5 linked regions of the Daphnia pulex genome follow. The protein of the gene in region 3 purifies or fractionates together with the protein of the main gene of each other region. This does not show direct contact. Links are inferred from orthologs where the notes say so. Each region holds a gene or a part of one and is shown on either strand. Other genes may lie near its edges. The genes, in order: histone acetyltransferase Tip60-like, vacuolar protein sorting-associated protein 72 homolog, MRG/MORF4L-binding protein-like, inhibitor of growth protein 3-like and chromatin modification-related protein MEAF6-like.

Region 1 (6,510 bases), about 340 kb from region 3:
AATGCAACAACAGTTTCCAGGTACTATTCCCCATGAAATATTATCATAAAGTAAAAGGTAAATAAATACCACGAGTGCCTGATTGGCGGCCATTCTTTAACGAAATTGAATTTTATTTGATTTCAATTCCGGGAGGGCTTCGTTCAACAGGAAGCCGACATGAAAACTAAGACTGACGCGGCAATATATATCGAAATGCCCCCGATGGCAGCGCCACGAAGCGTGATTTTGGCTAAGCATAGCATCTAGCGGTCGAAAAAAACATTCTTTCTGCTAAAAGTAAAGCCGTTTGTTATCGTTTCGACACGTTTGAATCGAATGAACAAGAAACGTTTTTATTAGCGGCCTAAGTCTCAGTATTCGTTGATTTTCATCAACGAGATGGATGAAAAATCCGAGATTTTGGTTTTAAACGCCGAAGATGAAGATACCTTCCAAAAGTTGTATTCCGAAGGTCTCAAATATAGCAAGCAATGCTCGGAAGAAAGCATGCCAGTTCCAAAGTTCTATACCAAAGTAAGCATAACTTCCAATTGATTCCCTATAAATTTCTTATGTTTTTGTTACACAGCTTCCTAATCATGAAAACATGATTAGCCTTAAACTGAGAGAAGAAGCTAGAACAGCATTCCTTCAGAAGAAGAGCAAAGAACTCCTCGATAACAATGAACTGCAGGTTTGTTAATGTCATTGCCAGTGTTTGTGCTACTGGTAAATAAGATTTTCATCCTGTCTTTAGAATCTCTGGACTTTACTTGACAAAAATCACAGCCCTCCTGCTGGTTCTGAGCAGATGATCAATTATATTGATTTTCTCAAAGTAGGCAACATAGCTGGTCCAAAATATAAGTAAGACATGTAAATATTTGATTGGGAACACCAAGTTATTTTTTGAATTCCCCTATACAGAGCATTCTTTACACCAGATGTATTTGCAAGGCTATTGCAGAATGATATTCATGGCAGAATATCAACCATGGCAGTGTTCAATTACATCATGAGGAAAGTTTGGTTACAGCAAACTAGAATTGGTCTTTCATTATATGATGCCACAGGACAAGGTCTGCTTACTGAAATGGTGAACATCAGCAATATGTTTTTTGTTTTTGCAATATGTAATTTACTTATCTATTTTTGTTTTTCCCAGGATTTAGAGAACTACATAACTGAACTTATCCCAACATTGCCACAGTTAGAAGGGCTTGAAAAGTCATTCCATTCGTTTTACGTCTGTACCGCCGTACGCAAGTTCCTCTTTTTCCTAGATCCATTAAAGCTAGGCAAAGTCAGGATACAGGATATTCTCGCTTCTGGTTTTCTGGACGAACTTTTAGAGGTATTTAGTATATTCCTGATTCTTTTGTCATTCTTCTCGCTAAAAATATTATAATTCATCAGCTACGGGATGAAGAGCTGCCCAAAGATGCACAGGATTCAAACTGGTTTTCTGCGCCCTCCGCTCTGAGAGTCTACGGTCAATACTTAAATTTAGATACCAACAGAAACGGCATGCTTTGTCAGGAAGAGCTCAGACGGTAATTTACCATATTTCAATTTGCAGTACGTACATTTAAGATTTTTTTTAAATTTAATTTTCAGATTCGGAACTGGCACGTTGACGCGAGTTTTCATTCAACGAGTATTCGAGGAGTGCATGACCTATGAGAAAGAAATGGATTATAAAACGTACTTGGATTTCGTATTGGCCATGGACAATAAAAAGGAACCACAAGCACTTCAGTATTTTTTCCGTTTGTTGGACGTCAATCATCGAAACCATCTCAACACTTTTGACCTCCATTTTTACTTCAAAGTATTAATTTCCTCATTTGACCTTTTGACTTTCTTATCTTGAAAAAAAAAAAAATGCTTTGCAGGGGGTTCAAGAGTTGATGCAGCAGCACAAACAAGAAGTCGTTGCTTTTGACGACGTCAATGATGAGATTTTCGATATGGTGCGTCCTGCCGATCCGTCAAAAATCACTTTACATGATTTGATTAACTGGTAACACACAAAGTTCATTTAGAATTTTTTTAGAATAAGATTGTCATTGAACGTTTTCTGGCTCAGTGGATACGGTGAAACTGTGATCAATATCTTGATTGATTTGGATGGATTTTGGACATACGAGAACCGTGAAGCTGTTGTCGTAACAGACAAGAATAACCAAGAGAAACAGGACATTTGAATTTGGAATTCTTGTACATAGAAATTGTGAGTGTATTTTTTAAAAAAAAGCAAAGAAGTAGCAAGATCGCGGAATGGATTGTAGGTGCGATCTCATCACCATTTCCCTCTTTTGGACCAGTCTTTCGGTGTCCAGTGCAAGCATTTGGGATCGATGTGTAATTTCCATTTCTCTTTGTTTTTTATGCAATTTTTCATCGCTTCTTCGTTCAGAATGAGTACGTACTGCCCCTTGTAGTAATTGATGAGGTTCAAATGCTGTAAGGTGGACACCACGTCCTCTTTTTTAATGCTCGTCATTTCGCAAATTTCGCTATTTAAATTAAAACGAATTCGTTTGTCAACGTGAGCTCTAGAATGAAGTAATTTACATCACTTACTTGATGGTAATTTGAGGACGTTCACCTTCACTGGATGGTTTCATATTCATCAGAATATCACAGATTGTAAAAGCCCAGTAACTGCGATAAGACAGCAACCCTAAATCGGACAGAGGTTTTTCTGGCGAGCCCGTTTTGCCTTCGAACTTGGACAGCTCGTAACCTTTACGTAAACAAAAATGGTTTTAAAAAAATATTTCCCCTTGGGTTTACGATTCTGTACGCACTGAATTCAATAAGAAGTTTTCCATATCCTTTCCGTTGATAGGGTGGTAATGTTAAGATGCAGGCGACATTGTAGTCCTCCGAGCTTTCTTTCTCTTTGCTAAAGTAGCCGACGATATGAAAACCTCGTGCATCCACTTCAGTCATGACGTAAAAGAGGAACGGATCAGTGTCGTAATACAGTGTCTTGTGATCAAGGAACAGTTTCGCTAGCAGGCATAGGTTCTGAGCGTATGCTTTATTTTTACGGCCGTCGATTTCAAAAAAAGAAATTGTCTGTTTGCGGTAAACTTCATTGCCTGGCGGATGTCTAAGATTGCACTTCATCTGTAGAAAAAGTTTAAGGGTTGATCATCCAATTAAAAATATATCGTAAAATTTTAAATTACCAGATGACGTTCTAGACATTTTTCACTTTTCCGGTACTTGAGACAAAACTCGCATATGTAAATACAAGCTTGGTGAACCATTTCCTAATTTTTGAAAAAGAATAGTAAACATTTCGGATCTTTACGTTCGTTAGATGATGACATACCTGAGGGTAGGGTGCGAAATACCAAGGTTTTATTCTGTGTCTGCCGAGTTCAATCATTTGAATATTTTTCATTCGTGTTACAACGTCATCGTGATGTGTAACAAGACTGCCCGACTGACGTGGCCCTGGTGTAGTCGGTGCAGGGGTGGACGGTGGGGCCGGAGAGTTAGCATCTCCTACCTCACAAACTGAATCACCTATGCAGAAAATTTTAGTTTTAATAATCATTTATATATAATAAATAGATTGTAGAAAAAATGACTAATTACTTGTAGGAACAGCACAACTATCGCTAACTACGGTGGGTGGCAGAGTGGGGATTGCTGGTAATTCTTTTTCAATTTCTATAAAAATAAAATTTAAAAGAATTTATGAAAAATGTAAAGAATTAATGAAATAAAATAACTTTACTTATAAGTTTCTTGGCAGGTGGGATTGGAATAATGGATCCTGGACTGGGCTCTTCTTTTTCTCCAATTTTACGTTTTCTTCCATTTCTCTTTTGTATTGCTGCAGCCAGTAGAGCAGACCCATTGACAGTAAGGTCTGATGCACTGGATGCAGCTAGTGGGGAAGAAGGACGGGAAGAACCAGTTGTTCCTCCAACTTTTTTAGGAGTACTCATGCCTGTGCCTACTTGAGTTCCATCTTTTCTAGGAAACTGAATTTTTCTCGTATCTAAGAAATCTTCTGAGACCCAATCATCAAGTCGTTTGTTGACTAGAGTTGAATTAAAAATTTTGTAAGATGATGTATCGTTAAACATAGCATATACAAAACTTACAGTCGATGTAATGGACATAAAACATCCTGATGTTGCAGATATCTTTGACACTGAGTACTTCGGCTAGAGCTAAATGATAACAAAAGAAAAACCACAATTAAACTTTCAAATCTATAAAATGATAACAAAGCAACAAATGTTACGCCAGTCTTCGGTGTTTCTCATCCGTACAGGCAACCGACAGCCTTCAACAACAGATGCCTAGATAATAGAATAAACAAAATTAAACATGGTTTCTAATGAAATAATGTAAAAATTCATACAGTTGAATCTGAAAACAGATCTTTATCTACAATCTCTTCTTTCATTTTTGACAATGACTGTTCGGTCTTCATTAGAGAAAAAGCTTTCAAAACAACAGTGCGCGGCCATGAGCGACATTGCCGCTTTTGCCGGTTGGAAATGGTAGTCTTCTGCTAGCTCTCTCACAAACTGGACCGATCAGTCCCATTTCAAATTGTAAAATGAAATTTCGGTTATGAAAATTCTCGACAAAATTTAAACCATAAAAGTGCAAAAATGTCACAGTATGGATTTGTTGCTATTCATCTTGGAGCAGGCTGCCATAGTTCAAAATCTGAAGCTATTTACAAAAAACTTTGCAAAATAACGTGTGAAAAGGCATGGCTTTCTATTAGTGATTCATGGTTTCATAGTTTGACTTGATAAGTTTTTCCCAGGGAGCAGCTTTATTGCAAGAAGGAAAATCTGCACTAGATGTTACGTGTGAATTGGTTTGCATATTAGAAGATTCACCACTAACTAATGCAGGATATGGCTCCAATCTCACTGAGAGCGGTGAAGTTGAATGTGATGCAGGAATCATGTTGTCTTTGAAACATCAAAGAAACACACGATTTGGAGCAGTCTCATCACTTAAAAGTATTAAAAATCCTATAATGGTAGCCAAAGAAATCATTTTATACCAGAATGAACCAAGACTTCTTGGTAGAACACCTCCACTGTAATTCAAAATACCATTTGCATCACTTAAAATGAGTGGTTAAATTAACACAGCCTTTTTTTTAGTGTTCTAGTAGGAGAAGGAGCGTCTGATTTTGCTAAAAACCGAGGTTTGAATCTTGTTCACAATAGCACTCTTATATCTGACAAAGCCATGAGAAAGTATAAGAAATATAAAGAACGGCTGGAAGTATCCAGAAAAGCTTTATCAAGTGGGCTAAAGATCACAGTGCAGCCAAACCCAAGTCAAGTAATATATTTGGTTTCCTAAAGTAATGTTATCCAAATATCATGGTTATTTTTTAAATCTAGGATACAGTAGGAGTAATTTGCATAGATACGAATGGTGACATTGCAAGTGCATCGAGTTCGGGAGGAATTGCTATGAAGCTTCCCGGCCGAGTTGGACAGGTTTTCCTTTATTCCTTCTTGTCATTTTAGTAGTCATTTACAATGTGTATATTGCGATAGGTGCCAGTTTACGGCTGTGGTTGTTGGGCGCAGCATTCCAGCTCCGGTGGTGTTGCTGTGTCAACTTCTGGTTGTGGCGAGCAACTCATCCAAACAACCTTGGCCAAGAAGCTTGGTCAAACCATATTAGAGCGAGGAGATCCGGCTTTCCACTTGAAAGAGCTCATGTGTGACGAGTTCATCCATTCAGAAATGCTGTCTGATGACGTCTATGACCGGATGGGTGGTGTTCTAGTGGCGTATTATAGCGAAGATTCGATAGATTTCAACATGGCCTTCACAACTGATTCGATGGTCGTCGGTTTCATGAGCACTAACCATGAAAAGGCTATTGTTCGGGTGTCTCGAAACACGTCGCTTGCGACACCGACAAATGCAAATAACTCATCACATTCCAGTAGGTTGACTATGGAAGGCTTTATTGTGAAACTAATAAATTAAGGAGAACAACAAGCGTTACATCTTTTTCCCGTCGTTATCCTCCAAATTGTGAGTAATTTCTTTAGCAGTTTGCTTGACCATGTTCTCGGTGGCATTTTTCACGACTTCATCGAGCCGATAGAGATCTTTAATGGATATTTCTCCTGTTCCGCGCTCGAGGGGTTTAGGCTGTGAAGGATCAGGTTTCCACCCGATCATGTAAATAATCTGAAACGTTGCTGGAATAGACCCGTCTTCATTTCCATAGAGTTCTATTGATCAAGAGGGGTATTAGCAAAACTAAGAAAAAAGAAGAAAATGTCAAGAAACCTTTATAGATGGCTGACGCAGCGAACATCGTGTCCCGATGCAAATGCAGTTTGCGGATCCACGAAGCGTTATTTTCGCCCATTCCTTTAAGATCTTCCATTAGTTCGAACATTGAAGGGTAGCCTACGCTTATTTCGTCAGTGTCCTATCCTTTTACACCGTTGTTAGTCGAAATTAATAATATAACATCTTTGGGGGTGTAATATTTCTCACG
Region 2 (6,238 bases), on a different chromosome or scaffold from region 3:
GCCGATAGGGCGGGTCCGGTTGAAACCCCCCAAAAATTCTTTGGCAAAGACTGAGATGTCAATCGGCGTCGTCGTGCAAGAGAGTTTGACACGGTGTATATTTATTTCTAGGCGATCGGCAGTTGTGAAAATGACGGATTGAAATGGAATTGTGCTGGAAGAGTTGACAGTTCAGTTTCCCCTATAGGACCAGTCCACATACCGACAGTTGCTGCCCAGGCCGAAAGTGGCGGTGGTTCAAGTTGATAGTCGTCATCGTCGGCCATCTTTGACGTTCACCCAAGTGCCAGCCAGCCAGCAGCAACCCCCGTGAGCTTTTTCGTACACGCACAGCTGGGCTGATCCCGCACCAACAGGGGGGGATCTCCTCAAAAATTCCCGAGCCGCTGACACTCTTCTTATCTCACATTCGGTGGCAGATAAAAGACGACCGCGAACCGCTGCTCTCAGTTGCGTCACTTTCAATTCGCACTACACACAGAGCAAGAAAATCATCTACGGTACACTCTATTTCCGTTCTATTTTTTGAAACGCTCCTGGCGAGATAAGGTCCAACAACAACTCACCGGACTATCTTCAGCAAGACGCCCCGAGTATGTACAACGCGCGGTCGTTACAGAGCCGACTGTTGTCTCTCTTGTATTGATCACGCTGCAACGCGCATGACCCGAAAGTGCACATCCGTCACAGGGGGGTTGTTGGCTGTCGTCGTCGTCGAGTTGTGTACATGCGCAGCATAGAAATAAGTAAATGAACTTGCCACTATCAAGTGCACGACTGCACGGGGCTGCACATTTCACGCAACTTAAAAGAAAAACACTTCTAATATAATAATAACGGCGTTTTGTGCTGGGACAAGGATGACCGAGAAGTTCTTCGTTTTCACGATTGTCCGACCGGATGATTTACCGTCCAACTGCTGCGTGTTGTTCTTGTCAACACGAAACCGCAACTATACTCGTCTGTTGTTTTTTGGGTTGAGCCCATAGTACTATATAGACAACACAGAAAAAGGGAGTGGTTATTTCCGTTATATTACATATTAGACTTATCGTGAGATAGGGGGGGGGGAAACGGACATTCCTTGTATTGCAACACCCGGAATCGGTGAAAAGGTCAACGCGCCGTATCAAAAAAGAAAATAAACCTTAATTTGAAAACGAATTGACGGGAATTCGGTTGCGCCGACTATTCGACTGCTGTCGGCGCTGTTTCATAGCGTTCAAAATGGCTTGGAGGAAAGAGTGGCGAAGTAGGTCAGCCGGATTGCGTGATGCAACGCATTCGGCATCAACCCATCCGCCGTGAATTTCACGGCAGACCAGGCCGTTGGTGCAGGGACAGAGGTTCAAATAGACGTGATGTTGTTCATGTGATGGATCAACAAGATTTTGAGTGAGTCGACAAGCTTCGCCCGTCTGACGCAACGGCAAACAGAACCGGTGCAGACGGGACCCCGTAGAGCGGACGCAGCACTCGTCTGCAGAGCAATCCTCGGAATTGCGACACTCTCCGCCTGCCGCTTGATGAACTGGACAAAAGATAAGAGGCTTTAATGTTTTGGTTGAATGCTGACGTCTTGCTAACAATGGAAAAGACAAAAATGAGCTGTTCAAATTATTTTTGGAAACACATTTTTAAAATGGCTGATTTTACCTGCAGTCCACCAATTAGGAACAAAACGAGTAGCTCCGCTGTAAGGAACCAACTGCTGGGTGACTAATGTCAACTGAATTAGTAGTAGAGCAGCACAATAGTACAAGTTTTGAAGTTTAAAGAACATGGTATACGTCTTGATCGCCTTCCGGTTTCATCATCACTGCCAACTTATTTGTCGGCAGGTGTAGCAAGACGCTTTTGATAGGATTTAACCTATGAATAATTCATCGATAACATTTGCTAGTCTGACAAAGTTCGTATGAAACACAAATCGAGTTGAAAGAAACCCTAAATTGTCTAATGGTCGAAAGAAAATATCAAAAAATGTCCATTTTATTCATGTCGGTTGCAAAAAATGAGGAGAATTTCGTTCATATCGTCGGTGTGGAGTTATTCGAGTTGGAGGGTTTGACTGCTGGAACTGGCGTCGATGCAGGTGCTGAGTTTCCCTGCGCGTTGACCTGTTGAGCGCGAGCGGCAGCTAGAGCGGCGAGTCGAGCTTGGCGGTACTTTTGACGCCATTCCTTCCAGCGGCCGATCTCCGGATCGCTGGCGTCTCCTTTCACCTCCAGCTGCTGGCAATAGGCCTCACGTAAAATCCGGAAGGCCTGTAGAGTGCCGTACGGCAGCTGAGTCACCGGATCAAAGTATTTGGCTCTTTGCCTGAAAAGAGATATGATAAACGAATGATATTTCCCTTTCATCTAAGAGAAGACGATCACTCAAACCGACCTGGTGATAGGACAAAAATTCTTTTGAGGTGGAGTGACTTTCGTCCGACTGAAATTAGCCTCCAAGACACTGTCATTCGAAAACGTAACGAAAGTTCTTTCACAACACTGCTTGCTGTCGACTGTGGCTACCGTGCCATTCTCAACAACTGGATTATCTTCTTTTTCCTCATCTTCTTCGACATTAATTCGCTCGGCTTCCGGGTTGACTTCCTGGATCAGAGGCATTGACGTCGAGAGGTAACGAATTGTTGGTCCAGTAGGAGCCTTTTTCACGACCCTAGTTTTCTTTTTCTCCAGTTCAAGTTGGTGATACTTTTCCAATGATTGAATGTTAAGCAATTCAGTCTCTTTGGCTTCTTCTAGAAGCTGTTGTTGGGTTAACTTTTCAGAATTGTCCCTTCTACATCATAATAAATGATTGGTTTGAAACATTTCTAATGAAGAATTATTTTTAATGCTAACCTGTTGTGTTTTCTTTTCCCTTTTGTTTCTCTCTCCCTGAGTCTTTGTACAGTTTCAGCTGATTTCAATACAGTTGTTTGCCTTACTGCCTTCTTTTCTCTGGCCTGTGAAGGAATTTTTGGCTTTCTGGCATATTTCGACCTGACCTTCGGGACTTCCACAGGAACTTCTGTTTTTTCTCCAGCTTTTGCTATTCTTTCTGTCATTTCATCAGCATTTTTGTCACCCTTTAAGCGTTTGCTCGAGGAAGCTTTAGGCTCCTAAGAAAATTTTTAAAAATGATTTCATTCGTTAATTCTGTAGTAGAATAGACATACCTTGTACGCTTTGGTACTGACTACACCTCGTTTTCTTTTAGTGCCCTCATCTTCATGATCAGAGATAGGTTCATCATTTTCATCAATGCTGAAATCTGAGTCTACTACGTCATCCTGGTCCTCTTCCGCTCTAGACCAAAAAAAGATTTGTTTTATTGATGTAATATACAAATTTAGACTTTAAATTACTTGAAAACGAATTCATTGTCATCTTCTTCATCATTGAATCCACCGTAAGTGCTTTTATAGAAATCGTCATCCTGTTCTTCTTCCTCCAGTAATTTTGACAAGCGATTGCCCGCATTTACACGCCGTTCACGTTGTAGCGACATGATGAACTTTAACAGATAGACGTTATTTTTTACTAAACAAACACTATGAGAATTCAATTACTAGATCTGAGAACACAAAGTTCACGTTAAAATTACACAAAAAAATTAGTTTTTTCTAAACAACCTCAACTGGAAAAGCAGACGCCAACGCCACAGAAAGCCATCTATTGACTAAAACCAAACTTAATTCTTGCTAAATCACAACGCTAGGTGGCGTTATATCCTACAGAAACCTTTCCGCCTTTCCTTTCATTCTTTCTACTTTGCTTCTCCTGGATTTAGACGTACTGTACCTAAAAAAAGAAATTCTGTCTCTTTCATTTTATATTTGTTCTTCAATCTTCATTCAGTCCTTCCCCTTTAAGACTGAAGTTAGTTACTAAGAAAAAGAATTGAAAACACTTCACCTTGTTTGTTATAACGTTTTGTGTTGAGGAACCACTTTAAAGAGAATATTAAAATTGTTACAGACTTCAAGCTCTTTATCCCGATCCTTATCCAGGTTGATGAACACAATGAAAAAGCAAAAGACAAGATCACACACATTCATGACATGACTATAACATTTTTGTTTAAATGAAGGTACGAATTATTCTGCTGCATTTTATCAGTAAAATTGCCAGTTCCAACCAGTTCCAACCATTTCACAAATTGACCCTTAAAATATTGCCTCAGTGGGTATCGCTACTTTGCCAGTTCCTCACCATTTACGTATAATTAAATTTTACAATTGTTATTTTTCAAAATCAAAAGTAAAACCAATTTTCCCGCCGGTGCATGCTATTTCTGCCGCACGGAAGTAAGCTTTACTTCTGGCATTCATCTGAAAGAACGAAAAAATCACCTGAGGCTAGAATAACCCAGAGAAAGTCATTGACAGATGGAAAACTCAGGTGTTTCCGTACAAAGACCGGCATGCAGTTAGTCTTGAAACCAGTTCAGCTTGACTGACTCCGGTGCCATCTCACCATTTCTTTGAAAGCTTTATCAAATGTTTGTCCGTGATTTTGTGCTCTTGTCTCTGACATTCTTATTGTGTCTGTTCACGTCAAGAGGAGAAGGTGAGAATCATTAAAGCGTTTTAACTTGATATGTTTTTGTTAAGAAACTACGGAATCTTGCAAGAATTACGTCATCCTACTAGTCTAAGTCAAGTAATTTCAATTATATTACCACTTTTCCCTTCAACTGCAGAATTATGGCGGGAAGATGTGACTGGGCGTATGAACATTGGTGTGACGGCTTCGGGGTTCGATCAGATCCGGCTAGACTGCGGTAGCAACAATTTTCAAGTGGTAGTAGAGACACTGGCCGATTTTAGAGGAGTCATATACACCAGAGGTACAAAACAAGAGAAAATATCGATTTAAAATTTAAATTTTCGTTTCTAAATTTTTCTCTGACTTAGGCAGCTTCTATTCACGAAAGGCACCGTGCTTTCTAGATGCTAACGGTGGCCGTCGTTTTCGGCTCAAAATACCATACGATCAGTGCAATGTTGAGGATGTACGTGCAATAAGAATAACGAATGTATCAACACGTCTAACGTCTCATGTTTCTAATGTGCAATTTTTTTAGGATGGAGAAAAGTTTCAAGTGACTCTCATCTTACAGCATGATAAGGAGCTCATTATGCCAGGAGACGGAGCTTTTGCACTGCAATGTGATCTGTCAGCCAAAGATTCAAAATCTTTTAAAGTGTAAGATTTCAAAATGGTTTCGACGTCATTAAAAGTACTCATAATTCATTGATTTGCAGATCTGCCGTGTCCAGTATCAGTTTAGCTGATCCGGATCCTTCCGGAAAAGATGTTCCAACTCATTTGAAGTCCACTGTGAGCGCTCCAAACGTAGTTGTCTTCAAGCCGTCCGATATCAGACCAAGAAAGTCACCGCAAAGGATCGAGCTATAATTGTGAATATTTGTTTTTTGATTGTGTACATCCCACATTGGATGTCATAGACGGGGATCATCTACACTAAAATATAAAAATAAAGACAAACTTTTATTTCAGGCGAGATTATTTTGTTATCAGTGATCAATGCAGGAAGATCCTAATGAAGCGTCCCAATGCTGGGTATTTTCTGTGTTGCGAAATAAAGGAAATGCAGCACCGTCTACGTCATAACTTTTACAGATGATTGCGCAGTATCTTGCAATAATAGAATTAACGAATTCAGTAAATTCATTTCAGCTTTCTTACGCTGTTTAATGAAAAATAAAAATTTTACCCGTTATTAAATATTCTTGTCCTATTTTCATTTGAGCAATTTAAAATATGAGAAACCGAGTTAGTTACGAAAGAATTGAGCAACAACAGTGCGAGGCGGAAGCAAAGAAGGAGTGCTGGTGAAACACAATGACATGTGGCAACCCTGTAGCCCATTAAACCCTACGGAGAAAAAGGGCCCGACGAATTGATGAAGCCCACTGCTGCTGTCTACAAGTGGTCTGTAACAAGTGTCACTCTCGAAAAAGGAAAAATCTATTGCACCGTGGAGTCCACGGCGCTCTAATGTCAAAATATGCTATTGCGCCGTGGATACCAGGTGGCGCGGACGAGCTAGTTCCAGCAGGGGTATGGAGAGGTCTCTCTATGCCCATGGGTTCCAGCTTTGTTATCGCAAATTTTTTTCACATGTACCATAGTAGGTAAATCTAATTTGCACTGGACAACCATTGGGCATCACGTGTTGATTAAGTCTTATTTTAAGCCCTTTGCAGAAAGCGAAC
Region 3 (5,297 bases):
GATACACTCTTCATCAGCTTCGAAGCCAAAATCTGAGGAACACTTGCGTTTAAACCCGCGTGACCGTTTGGTGGCTTGCATTGTTCGTATGTCTTCAGGAGATCGTTCTTTACGAAATTCGAACACTAGGGGGTATATGTGTTCGATGGCTGATTGGACGTTACCCACGCATGGCGCTGAAATGAAATGCATCAAACAATTAACAAAAATGAACCAGAAACTCACAAGCCAATCGTGTATACCTGTAACTGTAATGCTGCCTGTTGAGAAGATTTTTAGGGTGGCCTTAGGTTCCTTGAGACGATATGTAACTCCAGGATGCAATTCAGGTTCATAACTGAATCAAAGCCACACACACGTCAGCACAGATAAAACGAATTCATCAAACATTTACGAACCTGGCTATATCTCTGTGTTTGGCTGAAAAAGGCGTTATTTTTATCGCAAAAGGCATTGTACAAGTTCCCAGAACATTGACTACTCTGTAATTTACTAGGCGTAGTTTTGGGTAGCCTAGTTTGGAGACCGAACGAGTGATTCGTCTAGCGGCCTGTTTGGCTTCATCCTCACTTGTTGCCCCTGTACAGGTAACTTTTCCTGAGGACCAGATTGAAGCTGTAGTGTAGGGTTTCCGTAATCTCATGGTTACCATCTGCAACAGAAACGTAAATTGAAATCCAAAAACTGTGAAAACGATTAGAGACTGTGACTGAATCTTACCCCATTTTCTCTACGGTACTCAACATTGTAGCCATTCTGAGCTATCTGCTTCAAGTTGAGATGGGATTTAACACTGAAACTGCATACCACATTGTTGATTGTAATATCAATGACTGGCTCTTCACTAGGTGTTTCTTTAACTTCCTCAATAACTTCACCATTGTTCAATCCATTCTTTTCACAATCACCAAAACCATTGCTGGCTTCGTTCAGAAACACTTCCGGTGAGTCTTTGTTGTTGGGTTCCAGTTTGAGAGGAACAAAGTTCGTGGCAGTGTTTCCATTGGTCAAGACAGATCCTTGAAGCGTCATGGCCATTCCTTCCCGAGAGCCACAACTGTGAAAAGACAGGGAAAAAACGTATTAAATTAGAATATTGAAACGATGTTAACGTAAACACAAGGGGTGTCTGGTTGGGCAATAGCCGTATCAGGCGGTATCCATTTGTAGCCCGAATCGTGTGTCTCTAACCACGAGATCAACTTAAAAATTCAACTACCGTCTGAAATTACTCCAACTAGATGCCAAACAGATTGAGAAAACCGGTCAAAACACACATAATTTGATGAGCTTTTCAAGAATTCAGTGTGTGACGTCCTCCCTCTCTTCACTTGATACACACACAGACACACACTCATAGGGCGACATCACATGGCCGAAAATGTAATGGTGATTCATCCTTAAATTATCTCAACTTTGGCTTCGTTTTGGAATCGATAGAGAAACCTACTATTGATCAATGTTGTTCTTACCCGACTTAGATAAATTCTTCAATCAATTTTTTATACGAATGAAAATACACGTTGCAAATCCCAGCACATCGTCGGCGAGGGCTCTGTAAAAAACCGAAGAACAGAACAAACAGTTGCTCGCAGTGCTGCACTGGGGCGCTTTCAAGTGGCAATGAAACGCACTACAAAACCGGTGCATTCTCTTCCTTCCGATGCCTCTTCCAACAACTCTTTCGAAATGTGGTCACGTCGAATTCATTTTTAATTATTATAATTTTCATACACTTGAGAAACAGGAAATCGTATCGACAACTTTTTTTTAACTCTCTAAAATAAGTGAGGTAATTAAACTGAAGATGGAAAGGTTTTTCTAACGAATAAAAATTCAAACGCATGATTTTGAAGTGGGCGGTCATTTTTTAGTCCGGCCGAAATTTTTTTTTTAACACAATACCCGAGTTACAAAATTTCATTAAACGGTTTCGCAATCAATAATGTACGAGTGCCGAAAAAGTTGACATGGTAAAAAAAAAAAAAGTCATTCATCTTCTTGTTTTCAAATTCGTCGACGTTTTGGAGTGATTTGCGGTGTTCCAGGGCTTGGGGCAGTGCTGGCTCTTGTTCTTTTCACAGCTTTCTTTTCAATTGGCTGGGGTGTTTCAGGAACTTTTTCCTTCTTAACTTCTTCCTTTTCCTTCTTTATCACTTTCTTGGATTCAGCATCCTTGAATTTGCTATCCATCAATTCGCCATACTCCTCAGTGGAAAGGACAAAGTCCATTTCTTCGTTGGGGAAAGGAATCGTCTCGTGCTCATCCTAGAGAAAGAAACAAACACTTTAATACAAAACAATACAGTGAATATTAATGACAGTGAACAAACCAGTTTCTTGAGATCGTACAAGCTCGCCAGGTGATCCCAAACACCTTTGGAAGTGACTTCTTTGTTCAGATTCATTGCCAGTTTTTCTACGATGCAGGCCATTTGAAAGTATTTACTAATTCCTGTAAAAAAGAAAATGTTTTAAATATTTAACACAAATTAAACCTGCTGTGAAACAAGTGTAGAAAATCGTCGTCATTTTCAAACGTTTATCTTATTACCTATGGGTCTGGTGCCACACAGAATTTGTAACAGCTGCAATTCGTTATCGACGGTACCCCATTCCACTTCTGCAGCCTCCAAAGTCTCTTCGTTTCCTTCAGTTTTTTCTTTAACGGCCATATTTCAATCGATTTTAACTGAGTACGTTGATATTGAATGGAGATTTCTCCGACGTTCGACTAGTGGTTGAGGAAAACGAAAATAACAACCGGCTCCCTTCTGACAAGTGAAAATACTACACACACACACTCCGCAACGCCATCTGTGATTTGGTTTTGGTAGGATTAGGTGCGTCTGCTATGCTAGCAGACACGCCATCTGTGATTCAACTATTCAACTGCTAGTCAGTTTGTTTTTGTTTTTTTTCTTTTTCACAATTTAATTAAAAAAACTGTTGTTGTATAAATGTTTCATAATTGACCCGACAGAAATTAATTCAGTCAGCCAAAATGGAGAGAAAACAAAACAAAACAAACATCCTGTTTTATTTAATCCAGCGACGTTAGTTAATCGTTATCTGAACAACACCAAGATTGTCGAATGATAAATCAGGCACGGTTCTTAGAATGTCCTGGGCGAAACATTCCGACGAAATACTTTTCCCATTTCCCGTGTCCATTTCCCAAGGTCACAACCAGTTGAATCATCACGATCACGAAGCGTAAGCAGAAAATGGGAAGGAAAAGAAATAAAATAATACGGAGGAGAGTTTTTTGGCGTTGGTGTGTGTGTAAATGCAAACGAAATATCCGCCCTGTAAAATCAAAATAAAATAAGCGGAAAAGAGTCCCGACACAAAACAGCCATTTCCTCCTCCCACACGGAATAAATGCTGGTGAACACAAAAAGAGCTATTGGTCAATTTTTTTCCTCTCCAAACAACTGTTATTACATGATATAACTGCCGTGCAGGCCGGCCGACTCCATTGAGGCGTAGAAAACCAGCCAGCGTTTATTTCAACGGTGAAAAGAAAGCAAAATAAAAAACCCATAGAAATCGCTTCCATCTCTCTTCATTGTCTAGTACTAAACTTTTGTGTATTGCCGTTTAGCCCCCAAACATTTCCCAGCTCAGCCAAAGAATTTACAAAACACACACACAGACAAATTGACTATCATTCAGTTTCAGCTTTTTCCTTCTACAAATTTTGGTTTTATTGTGCGAAACATTGGCCGGCAAACGGGAGAAATATCACACAACACGCCGGGCTGCCCTGGAGAAGAGAAAAAAGAATGAAAGGGAAGCGGATCATTAAACGACGCCGGATCATTTAAGGACTTTTCCGGAAAGAGAAGAAAAGATCTAGAGGGAAAGAGACGGGAATTTTTTGTGTTGTTTTTCAAAGTCTGCCGGGCAGGCTGGGCGCGCTAACGTTGGTTGTTTAAGAGGTCTGCTGATCTATTTGTAGTGATGGTAGTTGTGGCTGCTGCTGCTGTTCCTCCTGGGCAGCCTGAGCGGATGTCAAAGCCGCCTCCTGCGATCCGCCCGCGTTTGTTTCGTCTTCGTCAGCTCGGTCCGTCTTGGCGCTCCTTGGTTGGCGTCGTCTAGGTTTGGACTGCTGGTCGAGGCCGTCTCCGTTGGTCGCCGCCCGTTTGACCAGTTTGCGGTGTCGGTTACTGCCGAGGTGTTCTTGCCACTGGCGCTGGCCGACCGTCACCTTTTCGCAGAGCGGGCAGTGAAAGGACGTTTGCTCTTCCCGCGTCGTCGTCTCGGCGACGGCCAGCGGCTTGGGCCGGCACTCGCTCCCGTCTCCCGTTTGCTCCTCGTCGGAGCCAAAAGAGTCGACAATCCGGAAAGCCACGTCGCGGACCTTCTCGTTCCACTCGGTCACATCCGTGGCATCCAGTCCGTACACCGGAGGCACCTGAGAATGAGAAAACAATTTGGTTAAATTATATCAGAAAATCGGCCGATTTGATTTCATTTGATTGATGGTATTCAAAAATCACCTGGCGATCGGGTTGCTCAAGGAAACGCTTGACGATCCATTTCGTCTGTTTACGGGCGTAGCGTCTGGTGCGGCTTTTCAGGGCCTCCACGCCCTGGTCGAGGAGACGCCGTCCCGTTTGAGTCGTCTGCTCGCTAGATGGCAGCACCAGGAATTCGTGAAACTCCTTCAGTCCGATCGACTGGAAAATGCCGATGGTGTAATCCGCTTCCCTATTTTTTTTATTTTCAATTCACGACAGAGCAGCGGCGCAGGACGGGAAAAATATTTTCGTGAAAAAAAAAAAACAAAAAAAGAAAAAGAATTAATAAATAAAGGAAATTACTCTTCTTTTTTTTCTTTCCTTCATCGTGATGACGTGGAATACGCCCAAACTATTCCATCCTCATACCCAAAATAAAAAACAAAAAAAAAAATTCCATCGCCTTTTTTTTTGTTCTCTCGTTTCCTTCCATGCAAGAAGTCAGTCAGCCGATTGATTTACGACGAAAATAATTATTTTTTACTGCCCTTCATTTTTTGGGATTGAACGTCGACATTTTTTGTTATCTAGCGAGAAAATCACGCGCAGAAAAAAAAAAAGAATTTTGAATGGAGATGCGAAAAGATAAGAGCGAAATTCCCGCGGGAAAATTATGTACAGTGATAAAAAAAAAGAAAATGGGCGGGACGAATGAGAGTAGAATGAAGAAAATGAGAACACAAGCCAAGAAGAAGAAGAAGAAAGAAATTAATAAATTGATTCGAGTTGACGTGAGCGAGAGCGCGCGTGTGTATGTGTTACACACACTCT
Region 4 (6,556 bases), on a different chromosome or scaffold from region 3:
CCATTGCCAAAATTGTCGAGCCGAAATCTGTGCAAACGAAGAGATGAGCATTAAAAACAGATTGAGTGGACAGTTGTTCATGACATATGTTCTCTGTTTGAACTGATGTGTCAGTATCGTTGTTGTGTCAAATTCTACCTGTCTGACACATGTTTCTATCAATCGCACCGTGGAAGCTCTGCGATCTGTGGCTCGTTTATAGAGCCAACACCCATCTAGGGTCATTGCACCAGGTGGCCCGATCACTGAAGCGCTACTGTATAAAAGGATTGTTTTCTCGCAATAAGAACTTAGTCACAGCTAGAAGTCGAAATTTGACACACTACTACGCCTCTCATCAGAGCTGTTCAGGTAAGCACTCCAGATTTCATAATTTCGCATAAAAAAACGATAACATGCATCATAATAACATGTTTTTAAATTGATGCAGGAGAACGATGATTTCGAAAGTTCTCGTATGCATTCTCGTCCCGTTTGTTGTGCTGTCGATAATATTTGATCCAGTGGACGCACAGGCGTGGAACGACGGTGACGGGGGCAAAGTTAAATGGCAATTTGATTGCGACTTTCCCGGCAATGATATCGGAAATCAAAGAGTTCCTGGCGACCAATGTGGCGGCCTTTGTATTAAAACAAATGGATGTAACCACTTTAGTCACTTTAATGGAATCTGCTATTTGAAAAAGGCATCAAGCATCCCTTCCCGTAAACAGACAAGCGGTTGGGGAGGCATATGCGGATTCCTAACAGGTGCACTTAAAGCATTTTGAATATTTTTGGTCACAAAGTCTTACAATATTAAATATTATTAAAATCTCAACATTTTTAGGAAGTAATGAAAATTCCGGCAATCGTAATGTCAAAGGCACTTTCTGGGCGGAGCAATCTGATGCTGGCGGATGTCAAATGCCGCAAGGTGATTACGCGGTAACCGACGCGATTGCTCTTGGACAATCGCAAGCACTCGGAAACCTCAAGTGGCGTCAAGGATTGTGCGGCCAAGTCTTGCGGATCGACTGCGGAAACGGACCGATTGATGCCGTTGTGGCCAGCACTTGCAACCTGAACAGCGATTCCTGCGGGGTGGACATGATCGGCAAAACCTGGCGACGAGCCACTTCGAACAAGTCACCCGGTATCGTCGATTGTAGTGTTTCGTTGACCAACCGAAACCCCTTAAACGGAAATGATGCCATCTGCTACTACCGTCCCAATTCCGAAACTACTAATAATTACTACGCAATCCTTGGAGTCGTTAACACCGGAGGTAGGATCAGTTCGTCAGCTGTTGCGGCTGGAGTGACAGGTCGCCGGAATAACGATGGTTGGTTCGAATTCAACGGATCAGGAAGCCCCAAATTTCAGAAGAATGCCGAAGTTGTATTTCGTTATGAAGATGGATCGTCTTCTTCTTTTCGGCTCAGCAACTGTCGAAATGGAGGACAAGTACAGATATTTCGATAAACGAATCTGGTATGAGGTATAATGAAGATAATTTAACTTAACTTAATCTTTGATTTTAATATAAACATTTCCCTCACTAGATATTTCCCTCACTAATGGAAATCACACCAGCGGCAGGCTACCAATTCGATTCACTGCTACGTGCGAAAATTTCTCTGTAAGCCTGAATGGTTAAATTCAATCTCTAAAAGGTTCTAAATACAAAATTGGACTCAAATCTACTGAGTGTTGTTAAAGATGGAACGAAATTTTTTCGTAAAAAGAAGGTGACGTCCGAACTCCGAAGACACGGATTTTTTAAGAAGGTTTTTTCGGACTTTCGGAGCCCAATTTAGATCGCTTTTCAGACGGCTCTTTCACATAGACACATGAGTTGAGTCAAAGACAAGACAAAGTCAAAGCACACATGTCACTTTTAATTAGTTTTCATGTTATTTATTTCAAATATTTCAATATTTACAAATTACCCGAAGGGTTACTGGTCAAAGTTTCGTTTGCAGTATGGTTTACATGGGCACCCTCAGTTCTCGTAACACTACATAGATGGATGCACTAGTTTTTGGCAATTATTGATTGTAATCAACAATTTTATTGCATTTCAATGGCAGTAATCGGTAGCTTACAATTTTTTACATCTATTCTGAAAATTTGGCTGCAATCAATTCAGGCATTTGATCAAACGGAGTTCTGGTTACTTTTTGACAGAATTTCAATAGCTGTTACAGCAGACGATAATACAGAGACATGTGACAGGGATATAAACGTAACGTGACAATCGACTACTATTGTATGATAGAATAGAAGTCACTGTATGTTATCACCGAACGCTATCAATCTCCAGTAACAGAAGTGCTGATAGGTAGTTACTTAAATTTAATTTTAACAAGATCCGGTGTGACGTGGGGTGGCGGGGCGAAGCCTCCGCCGCACCAAAGTCACGCGGAAATATTCTTTTAATCTCTTTCTCGATTTATGCTTATTACAATCTTCCGGAAACTAAGGGCATAAATTTTTTTTAAATGTTATTAATCCATCTTAATAATAGGCCTACCTTTATAACAGAATATTTTTATTATTCTATAACTATTCTATAGCTCTGTCTTTGTAAAACTATACCAATACTACTATACCAACTAGAATACCCTTAACATTCCCTTCGGGTACCTTGCGGCGTACGTACGCTGCCTACAGTATAACTAGGACTGGCAGTAGGCGGCAGTAGGCTAACACTAGACCAAGTGAGCACAACTCCTAGTGACCAAATTGCTCGCTAGAGGGAATCTGCAGACATTCACTCGCTCGCGTCATCACATTAGATTCCTGTAGATCAACTGCAGAAAAGAAGCAGTGATCCAAGCCATCCGTCAAAAGCGTATAAGAAAAAGAAAATTTCTCAAAACTTAAATAAATTTTATTGTCGATTTCAATCAATTTGTACCAAAATGTTGTACTTAGAAGATTATTTGGAAAGTATGATGAGTGTTTCAAGTGATGATAAAGTTCCCTGATTAAAATTTTTAAATTACCATCTCCCCATTGTAGTGATAGAGCATTTGCCCCAAGAACTGAGGGATCGATTTACTGAAATGCGCGAAATGGATTTACAAGTTCAAAGTAACTCTCGAATAAGTTGTAGAAAATGTAATAGGGATGTTCGGCGTGTCGGGCCGTTTACTTACAGTTTCCAAGTTGAATAAATTAGACACGAACAAAACCGTGTCTTTTACCTCTCGTCTATTTTAACACACTGAATATTGTACAGTAAATTGGGGGGGAATAAACAATAGGGGGGTAGGGAAACAACGACTGAATTTGGGGACCAACGACTGAATTTGGGGCCACCTATCGGGGGCCCCCAAGGCAATAGTCGCGTAGGTGCGCCGGTGTTGTTGTGCGGCGCCCTGATCTCGTCGTCGTCTGTTGGAATGGAATATTCCTAACACACTCCCCACCAGAGCCCGTAGCATCCGGCTCGACATCTTCGACGACGTCTTCCGGTTCTTCGGGAGCTGGCATAGCGTCTCCGATAGCGAGATCGATTTCTGGTTCTGGCAGAGTTGGATTTGGATCCTCTTCCGGCTCCTGGATCGGTTCCGGATTTCCAATTTCGACGTCTTCGGCGAGATCTTCTCGCAGCTCTATAGGGTGAAGACATTGAATGGCTCTATTAATTAAATTACCATTTGGAATCTTGAGCATGACAGAACGGATGAGTCCGTCGCGGCTTGGAATCAGTTCCTTCACTACTCCGGTAGACCACATGAGTCGTTTGGAGTGTTCGTCGTGGATAACAACGACTTCTCCTAGGCGGATCTTCCTTCCGGATTTTCCTTTGGAGTGGAAGTTGTCTAGTTGGAGTAGATAATCGTCGACGAATCTAGCACAGATGTCAGCGACATATTCCCTCCTGTTCTTGTCCATCTCTTGTAGTACGATGCTGGTCGATGTAGGATCCAGCAAGTTAACGGCTGGCTCCGGATCGGCACGAGTAGAACGTCTGTTGTTTAGAAATTGGTTAGGAGTTATCGGAAGTGGATCGTCAGCTCCTTCCCCAATATAGCTGAGTGGGCGGGCGTTGATTACGCTCTCGATTTCTGCTAAACTCGCTTCCAGTTCCATGTAGTCAAGGCAGGCTCGACCGTTGGAGCGTCGCAGCAGATCCTTGACGCTCCTCACCATCCGTTCCCAGAATCCTCCCCACCATGGCGCTAGGCTGGCGGAAAATATCCAAAGGGTTTTTCTGGACGCGAGAAAGTCTTGAATGATGGGATCGGCGTGAATAGTTCTCAGGAATCGGTCGACACATCGGAACGTTTGCGCGTTGTCCGAATACATCACTGAGACGGGTCCTCGTCTAGCTGCGAATTTTCGAAAGGCTAGTAAGAAGGAACGCGCCGTCATATCGGGTAGTAGTTCCAAGTGAACCGCTCGAGTGACTGCACACGTAAAAAGACAAACATAACTTTTAAGATGGTTCGTTTTCTTAGCTTTAGTTGTTGTTATTAAGATGTCTTGGATTTCGACATCTTCTTCGACTGAATCCTCTTCGCCTACGATTAGAGCTTCGATTGGAGCGTCTCCTTCAGCGGGTGGCTCCTCGATTCGCTCTTCAGTTGGATCGTCTGCTGGCGTCGGATCCTGGACGCTTGGTGGAGCTTTCCTTTTCTTCCTTCGCTGTGCTGGTTTGTACAGCAGTGGTCCAGCGAAATCGACTCCTGTAACGTGAAAAGATTGCGCATGTTTGAGTCGGTTTAAAGGAAGAGGGGCTGCTAGTTCTTGCTGTCGTCCTTTAACTATCCAGAATTTTTCTTTTAACTCGGATAGTGTTACTTTTGCTCCTGCATGTAGTAGTGACTCGTGTTTGTCTGTAATTAAGAAAGTGATTACTATATGTGATGCAGGAAGCAAAATTGGGGGATCGATGTTTCTATCTCTTAGGGCAAGTGATACTCTCCCATGGATTCGAACGAGACGGTCTCTGGCGTCCCAGATTGGAAAAAGTGCAGCGATTTTCTCCTTGGGCTGGATTGTGTTGTCTAACTGTAGCGATTCAAACGCCTTAGGATACCGCTCTCGTTGGAGCTGTCTGTAGATCGTTAGTTCCGCTTCATCCAGCTCCTCTCTGGATAATCTTGTAATCCGGATAACTTTTCCACTTCCTTTTCCATCTGGTCCAATTGCCTTTATCGACTCCATTCGTTCTGGACCGGGAGGTCTGAGCTTCTTTTGACTCCTGCTGAGGAATCGTGAGACCCAGGCTGTACGTCTTAACAGTCGATTCCAGGTGGAAATTTTGTCGAGATTCCAGTCGACGGAGGCTGTTGGAATTGCGATGGCTGCTGTTGTGCTGACCGTCGTACTCCTAGCTTCCGATTCCATTTCGGACTGGATTGTTTGTGGAATTTGGTCGTTGGGAGAATCTGGCCATTCCGTTTCTTCTCCTTTGAGCCAAATCGGGCCGTTCCACCAAAGAGTTGAGGTTACCAGCGTTGGCGCTGGCGCTCCCCGCGAGGCAAGATCGGCCGGATTTTGGAGACCTGGACAGTGTCTCCACCACTCGGGTTGTGAAAATTTTCGTATCGTCTCCACTTGGTTTCGGACGAATGGTTTCCATTTGTTCGGCTCTCCTCTAATCCATCCTAGTGCAACCAAGGAGTCTGACCAGTAGATAGTTCTCCAATACTGGACTTGCATTGCATTTTTTACGACTTCACCTAAACGTACGGCTAAAAGTGAGCTCAGCAGTTCTAAACGCGGTAAAGTTACTTTTTTCTTAGGTAGGGGTGCAACTCTCGTTTTGCTGGCCAGTAGGATGATGAGTGGATCTTCTTGTCCTTTTTGGAGTCGGGCGTAGGCTACGGCTCCATACGCTGCTTCAGAAGCGTCTCCGAAGACGTGTATTTCGTGAGAAGTGACTTTTTCGGATAGTCCGATCCATCGTGGAATTTGTAGTTCGGTGAAATCGGCGAGACCAGTCATCACTATCTTCCAAGATTTTTGGATATCGGCTGGCGCTGCTTGGTCCCAACCTATCTCCTTTTCCCAGAGCTTCTGGTAAATAATCTTTAACAAAAGTACAGTGGGAGATAAAAATCCAATTGGATCAAAAATCCTTGCCGAGATACTGAGTATCTTTCTTTTGGTGATTTCCGATCCCACTTCTTCTACTGCTTGGATGATGGATGCTGGGTTGAATTTGAACGAATCGGATCCGGTGTCCCACCGGATTCCTAACACCTTCTGTTGGCCGTCCAAGGCTGGGGAGAGTAGGCCTACGACTTGATTCGACAGTCCTTTCTCCTTCAGGTGTTGTTTGAGGTCTTCGTTGTTGGTTGCCCAGCTTCTCATGTTGAGTTGGGCGTCACTAAAGATCTCGTCCGTCTCATCGACTCTTTTCTTGGCGATTGATAAATTGTTTGCTCCGCCGAGGTAATCGTCAACGTACAAACTTTCTTCCAGCTGTTGAATAGTTTCTGGAAAACGAGACTTTAGTGATTTGAAATGTTTGTTAATTGTAACACGTAGGAGAAAGGGGCTAGAACTAAGGCCAAAGGGCACTCTCTTCCACTTGTAGGCAATAAGAGGCGATCCA
Region 5 (5,269 bases), on a different chromosome or scaffold from region 3:
ATCAATTCAAAGTTAAATTAGTTAGAAACTTACCCTCGAGACGGAAAAATAGCAATCTTATCCTTTCCAGACATAGCTGCTTACTCTTGGATATCACTTGTGTTTCTGACTTTAGCCTCCCCTCAGCTGACAAAAGAGAAATATGGGGATCCGAATGCCTTGTGATCGCCCATAAGTCACATGATATTCTCCTGTATGGTCCTGTAGCCTAGCGCGTGACTTGATTACGGTCCGAGATAAGACTAAACAATTCAATCTCAACAGGTGACGCGATAGCGCTGCAGCCAGAGCGGAAAGTTTCATTTCTAGTCGGACACTCCAAACAGACGGAAGGTTTTTGAAGAAAGTGCATCAAGAAGAATCAAAACGAAACATGTTTGAATCGAAAGTGTAAATTGCAATTAGTTATCTTTTTCTGTGGCTACACCAACAACACCAATATAAGGTAAGGAATGAACAAAACAATAGCAGTCACAATAATAGACTTGCACATCAAAAACTATTCGACATAGATTCGGATAATATCGCGCCTAATTATTATTTTTCTTTGTCGTCTTTTTTGTTCAGAAAAGAACATCCTCGTCATGTGCGTCATCGAGTATGTTGGCTGCTTCGTCTTCAATTTTCCCTTCAGCTTTACGTTTTGCCTTCTCCAGCTCAGCCTTGGCACGTGATATGCGCTTCTTATCTTGGATTTTCTTCAACCTTTTAAAAAGAGCAACGCCCTTAAATGGCTGGCGAGTATTTTGAATAATTGTAATAAATACCGGTAGAATTCTTCACGTTCTAGCTCGTCAAGTTCTGAAATGATGTAGGCCAGTGTCCGTTCAATACGAGGTATGATCACTTAATAGTTCAAGAAATAAAGTTTTACTTATTGACCAATTTGTTTAGATGAAAATGCATTTTACCGTGCTCGATGGCGTTTACTCTTCTATTGGTCACCTTGATCACCTTGTCGAGCGTGATGAATGACGTCTGCAGAGAGGCAAGCTCCACTAATAGTGTAACAGCTTTCTGGTAGTTTTTCTTCAGCTTACCCAGCTGTTGACCTCCTCTAGCCAAACCTGCCAGCTCATACGTATCACTACCATCCTGGTAGCTCTCAAACACTGGCAAATTCACACCTGGACACAACATAATAGTATTTTAAAGCAATTATTTTTGGATGATTTCAAAATTATTTACCTGCCACATTGTCTTTTTTAGACCTGACTTTGATCTGAGCCTTTGTGACGTTTTGCAGTACTACCTGATTGAAGTCACCAGTTGCAAATTTGGCTTCAGCAAGTGAAAATGCAGCTTCCTTCATCACATCTCCCATTAGTACTTTTGTCTGAAACATTGAGTAATAATTATTTTGTAATGCCAAGTAAAGTAGATACTTAATTCCTTTTCAACTTACATCAATGATCTTTTTCAGGATTGAGCGGAACCTCATTTGAAGAGCATCTGCCTTCTTTTTAAGAAGACCATGGCCTTTCTGTGCACCGGCAAGCCGATGTTTCATCAAAGTCTGTGCTCTGATTGTGTCAAGAGAAAGGAATTAAACCAAAAACTTGAAAGTTGTTATTGAGCTCTAATATGTTCTAAATTACAACTGAATCGTCTTAAAGATAAATATGACATACCCTCGAGAAGGAAAAATGGCAATTTTGTCTTTTCCCGACATTGTGTGATTAAAACTGGATCTGAATAATACAATACAAACGAATAGGGTTCGTAAGAGGGTTTAGTGTGTGGTTACCGAATTTTGACAAGAATCATCTGATCATGTGACAACAAGAGAAGGAAGAGAGGGGGAGGAGCAAATGAGCTTTCAAATCCATCTGGCGATAGAAGGATGAAACATATTTACGTAATAAGTCTGAATCGGAAAATGAATTGCGAGAACATTGGAATGTTTAATTCGAGCATTTATTCAGAAAACCAGAAAATTGACACACAGACATAAAGTTTGTTTAACACTTAGGAAGGTACATTCATAAGGGCATTCACGAAACCATGTTATAGAGAATAGGAAAATGAACAGTGAATATGAAATTATTTCAGTTTTGACTTCTTGCTCCCTCTTTTATTTATATGTCTGGATTTTGAAACTTTTCCTAACTTATCACCATTGACCCCCTCTAAACCGAGAAAATCTCTGCTGTTTTCGTCACTTCCACTCATTCCTGCTTGTGATTCAGTTTCACTGCTTCGTTCTGCTCTCTCAGAATTCAGATCAATGATCCCGCTCACAGCCTAGGTTTGAAAGAAATTTTATTTCTGTTAATTCAGTAGAAGTGTCATGCAATTCTACCGCCATAGAAGTAATTGAAGACTTGGAGAAAAGTCTTTCATTTTCCTTGAATTTCCTGTTCCTTTTGTCAGATGAAGGGTTTGACAGTTTGCTAGTACTGTTTAAATAACGGTCCCATCCTCGAATAATATTTCCGTAAAGCTGTGTATCTTCCAGGTAACTACCTTCGAATGCATAAATTTGTCTTTCCAAGTTGGCTAGGGTTTCCTACAAAACACAAATATAAACAATGAAGTAGGCAGTTTTTAAGGTTAAATTTGAATTCATTCTTACGGCGACTTCGATTCTTCGTTTGACGAGGTCAGAAAGTTCAGATCGTAAATCGGAGCTGGATGTATTTTTAGTCATTTTACAAGCCAAAATTTCGCCCTTTTCTTTTGTTGTTCAGGCGATGCTGGCGGCCATTTAATTTCGGGTTTCTTTATTGTCCGCCATGTCGCTAGTGAACGTGGCGGTGCAGACAACGTTATTCAAATGGCGGGTATACTGCCGGACGAAAAAAAGAGCTGTGATGATAACGAGGAAAAAATCATAAAATGTCCCCCTAAATCTAAAATTGGCTATGTATATTCACCGGAATTAATTCATCAATGTAATAGAGTACCAAACCTGAAGAACAGGGTAACATTTTTTTTCCATTCACCACTAAAAAATGTCACAGTTAAATTTTGACATACTTAAGCATTATGTACAACTAACTTTCAATAGTACATATAACGTATTTTGATCTCACTTTTGCTTTGTTTCTTTTCAGGCCTCATTAGTTCATCATTTGCTGGAATCTTATGGACTCTTAGATCATGTCTTGCTTTTAAACTGTGATAAAGTTAATGATGACGTCTTTCAAGGATTTCATTCTGCCGATTACATTGAATTCCTCAAAGGTGATGTGGATGTAGAGGATGAATCCAGTGAGGAATATGGTTTAGGTAATATGAATATGGAAACATGTAATGGAAATGTTAATTTATCACATTAAAATCTAATCAAGGATTTGACTGCCCCCCACTTGACAAGCTTGATGACTTTATCTCTGTGATAGCTGGTGGATCTGTAGCAGGAGCCAAAGCACTTGTTTCTGGATCTGTTGATGTGGCAGTAAATTTCTGTGGAGGCTGGCATCACGCTCAGAGAGATTGTGCATCAGGATTCTGCTACATCAATGACTGTACAATAATTTAATATTTTTATAATGAAAACACAAGGTAAAACTATTGGATTTTCAGGTGTTCTTGCCATCCTAGAATTGGAAAGAAAATTCAAACTCGTACTTTATATTGACTTGGATATTCACCACGGTAAGTCCAACCCTTTTTCAGTGTAAATGTATACAAGGATTGATACAAACCCATTTTTATTTATTTAAGGAGACGGAGTTGAAAATGCTTTCGCTTACAGCCGCAAAGTGTTTACGCTATCGTTACATAAACATGAAGAAGGATATTTTCCGGGTACAGGTTCAGTCAACGACACTGGTTTCGGCAGGGGTCGCAACTATTCATGCAATGTTCCACTCAGAGATGGGGCTTGCGATGAAACTTTCATCCACGTCTTTCAAACGTATAAATTTTCTTTTGTCTCCTTAAAACCTACAATGTGGTTCATCATCATTCATTCATCTGTGACAAAAGAGTTTTCCAGGAAGTAATGAAACGTTTTCGTCCGGAAGCAATTGTATGTCAATGTGGAGCAGATGGCCTAGCTAACGATCCATTAGGGACATTTAACTTGACACCCGTTGCATACGCCCGCTGCACCGCTGTCATCCAGAGTTACAAATTACCTACTTTGTACCTTGGCGGAGGCGGTTATCACAAGGCCAACGCGTCCCGTTGTTTCACTACCATATTGGCAGGTCTACTAGGCGTCGAAATATCATCCGATATCCCGGAACACGAAGTAAAACTTATTGTTGTAAATTTTCTTTATAGTTATCCGTTTTCTTTTAATGATTGATTTTTATTGACAGTATTTCAATTGGTACGGGCCGAGCTTCGAGTTAGACGTCAGTCGAGGTCTCCGACGGGACGAAAACAGCCCCGACTACATCCGGACTCTTTTACAACAAGTTTTCGGTATGTTGCGTCCTTAGTAGTAGCCTATAGTGCAAAGCAATGCGTGTGTGTGTGTTTTTCAAGCCTAAATTTAGTTGCAAGAGAGTTGAAATATTTTCGGCATGCCCTTGACTCCTCGCTCCTTCCATCGCGCGGCTCGGTGACACACACACCACACACGCACATCGAAACTATATAAATAGACGGGATATATGAAATTTATGTAATACCTAAGAACTCCCTCTCTTCTTCTTCTTCTTGGCAGGCAACTTGGAGCAAATCTCTAGCGAGTCGTGAACGTTTTGAATCCATCACATTTCCCTTCGGGCCATTATTGGGATTTTCGAAGGTTTTTTTTTTCTTCTCTTTTTAACTATTAACTACATTTTCGACATTTTACGTAATCAATACAAGACGACAGCCGAACGAAATGACGCCAACACTTTTTTCATTTCATAGATTAGCCGATATCGAAATGGCTATGTCAACATAAACGTCTCCCCCATTTGATTGTTTGACGGGCCTTCACTCGGGAACATTTTGAAATTTCCGTTGAATAAAATTAGACCCAATGGACTCTCCCCTAAAACAAGGTAAACACAAATAGAAATTCGATTTTCGTGATGGTGCTATTAATCCAAATATGGGCCGTTGTGTAAAGAAGAAAAACGAACAACAGCTGTGCGGTCTGCCAATGTGTAGAAATCCACCTACGCCGCCGAGCGGTTTCAGATATCAGATTGAAAAGGGCGAGGATTTCAGGTCGGTTTTCCCGACTTGTCAGATGAGGTCATCGGATGCCGTCACATCCAAAACTTACACACATTTCTTTATCCACTTAACTCATCATCGAAACAGATGATAAAACCATTTGGTGGTGGGGGGAGACAGAGCTAGGGAAATGAGTATAACA

Evidence for each region.
Region 1: the proteins of MRG/MORF4L-binding protein-like (region 3) and histone acetyltransferase Tip60-like purify together in Homo sapiens (co-immunoprecipitation; 8 studies listed by BioGRID and IntAct, counting the BioPlex papers as one, with this or other methods). This does not show direct contact. The link is inferred for Daphnia pulex from reciprocal best matches to the Homo sapiens genes MRGBP and KAT5.
Region 2: the proteins of MRG/MORF4L-binding protein-like (region 3) and vacuolar protein sorting-associated protein 72 homolog purify together in Homo sapiens (co-immunoprecipitation; 5 studies listed by BioGRID and IntAct, counting the BioPlex papers as one, with this or other methods). This does not show direct contact. The link is inferred for Daphnia pulex from reciprocal best matches to the Homo sapiens genes MRGBP and VPS72.
Region 4: the proteins of MRG/MORF4L-binding protein-like (region 3) and inhibitor of growth protein 3-like purify together in Homo sapiens (co-immunoprecipitation; 4 studies listed by BioGRID and IntAct, counting the BioPlex papers as one, with this or other methods). This does not show direct contact. The link is inferred for Daphnia pulex from reciprocal best matches to the Homo sapiens genes MRGBP and ING3.
Region 5: the proteins of MRG/MORF4L-binding protein-like (region 3) and chromatin modification-related protein MEAF6-like purify together in Homo sapiens (co-immunoprecipitation; 4 studies listed by BioGRID and IntAct, counting the BioPlex papers as one, with this or other methods). This does not show direct contact. The link is inferred for Daphnia pulex from reciprocal best matches to the Homo sapiens genes MRGBP and MEAF6.

What each region holds. Positions count from the first base shown.
Region 1 is NC_060018.1:12,585,396-12,591,905, reverse strand, and holds histone acetyltransferase Tip60-like, read right to left. Parts: upstream 4,499-6,510; 5' UTR 4,448-4,498; coding exon 4,376-4,447; intron 4,314-4,375; coding exon 4,256-4,313; intron 4,182-4,255; coding exon 4,113-4,181; exon of another isoform or gene 4,049-4,112; coding exon 3,740-4,048; exon of another isoform or gene 3,673-3,739; coding exon 3,598-3,672; exon of another isoform or gene 3,526-3,597; coding exon 3,329-3,525; exon of another isoform or gene 3,267-3,328; coding exon 3,183-3,266; exon of another isoform or gene 3,121-3,182; coding exon 2,796-3,120; exon of another isoform or gene 2,732-2,795; coding exon 2,569-2,731; exon of another isoform or gene 2,502-2,568; coding exon 2,285-2,501; 3' UTR 2,198-2,284; downstream 1-2,197. Other genes in the region: transcription initiation factor IIA subunit 1-like, read right to left, coding at 70-93; serine/threonine-protein phosphatase 2A regulatory subunit B'' subunit gamma-like, read left to right, coding at 382-516, 572-676, 740-849, 910-1,078, 1,148-1,336, 1,399-1,535, 1,600-1,813, 1,878-2,005 and 1 more; threonine aspartase 1-like, read left to right, coding at 4,632-4,733, 4,793-5,076, 5,142-5,325, 5,388-5,486, 5,547-5,987; arginine-hydroxylase NDUFAF5, mitochondrial-like, read right to left, coding at 6,003-6,238, 6,297-6,441, 6,510-6,510. UniProt on the Homo sapiens protein: Catalytic subunit of the NuA4 histone acetyltransferase complex, a multiprotein complex involved in transcriptional activation of select genes principally by acetylation of nucleosomal histones H2A and H4.
Region 2 is NC_060028.1:9,609,422-9,615,659, forward strand, and holds vacuolar protein sorting-associated protein 72 homolog, read right to left. Parts: upstream 3,787-6,238; 5' UTR 3,629-3,786; exon of another isoform or gene 3,571-3,628; 5' UTR 3,505-3,570; coding exon 3,362-3,504; intron 3,303-3,361; coding exon 3,173-3,302; intron 3,116-3,172; coding exon 2,856-3,115; intron 2,794-2,855; coding exon 2,392-2,793; intron 2,323-2,391; coding exon 2,031-2,322; 3' UTR 1,975-2,030; downstream 1-1,974. Other genes in the region: uncharacterized protein LOC124210055, read right to left, coding at 1,149-1,582, 1,657-1,783; uncharacterized protein LOC124210054, read left to right, coding at 4,496-4,565, 4,696-4,845, 4,913-5,010, 5,083-5,204, 5,264-5,417. UniProt on the Homo sapiens protein: Deposition-and-exchange histone chaperone specific for H2AZ1, specifically chaperones H2AZ1 and deposits it into nucleosomes.
Region 3 is NC_060018.1:12,247,974-12,253,270, forward strand, and holds MRG/MORF4L-binding protein-like, read right to left. Parts: upstream 2,822-5,297; 5' UTR 2,676-2,821; coding exon 2,555-2,675; intron 2,456-2,554; coding exon 2,334-2,455; intron 2,269-2,333; coding exon 2,008-2,268; 3' UTR 1,849-2,007; downstream 1-1,848. Other genes in the region: TATA box-binding protein-like 1, read right to left, coding at 1-176, 243-337, 399-652, 721-1,038; tRNA dimethylallyltransferase-like, read right to left, coding at 3,938-4,420, 4,506-4,716.
Region 4 is NC_060019.1:7,720,611-7,727,166, reverse strand, and holds the start of inhibitor of growth protein 3-like, read left to right. Parts: upstream 1-2,773; 5' UTR 2,774-2,906; coding exon 2,907-2,934; intron 2,935-3,006; coding exon 3,007-3,078; intron 3,079-6,556. Other genes in the region: uncharacterized protein LOC124190484, read left to right, coding at 438-750, 830-1,464. UniProt on the Homo sapiens protein: Component of the NuA4 histone acetyltransferase (HAT) complex which is involved in transcriptional activation of select genes principally by acetylation of nucleosomal histones H4 and H2A.
Region 5 is NC_060026.1:14,089,666-14,094,934, forward strand, and holds chromatin modification-related protein MEAF6-like, read right to left. Parts: upstream 2,719-5,269; 5' UTR 2,651-2,718; coding exon 2,576-2,650; intron 2,510-2,575; coding exon 2,303-2,509; intron 2,245-2,302; coding exon 2,044-2,244; 3' UTR 1,904-2,043; downstream 1-1,903. Other genes in the region: V-type proton ATPase subunit D-like, read right to left, coding at 34-74; V-type proton ATPase subunit D-like, read right to left, coding at 564-705, 768-846, 912-1,127, 1,189-1,336, 1,406-1,523, 1,632-1,672; histone deacetylase 8-like, read left to right, coding at 2,777-2,923, 3,057-3,231, 3,294-3,470, 3,529-3,600, 3,670-3,862, 3,934-4,201, 4,272-4,377, 4,622-4,653.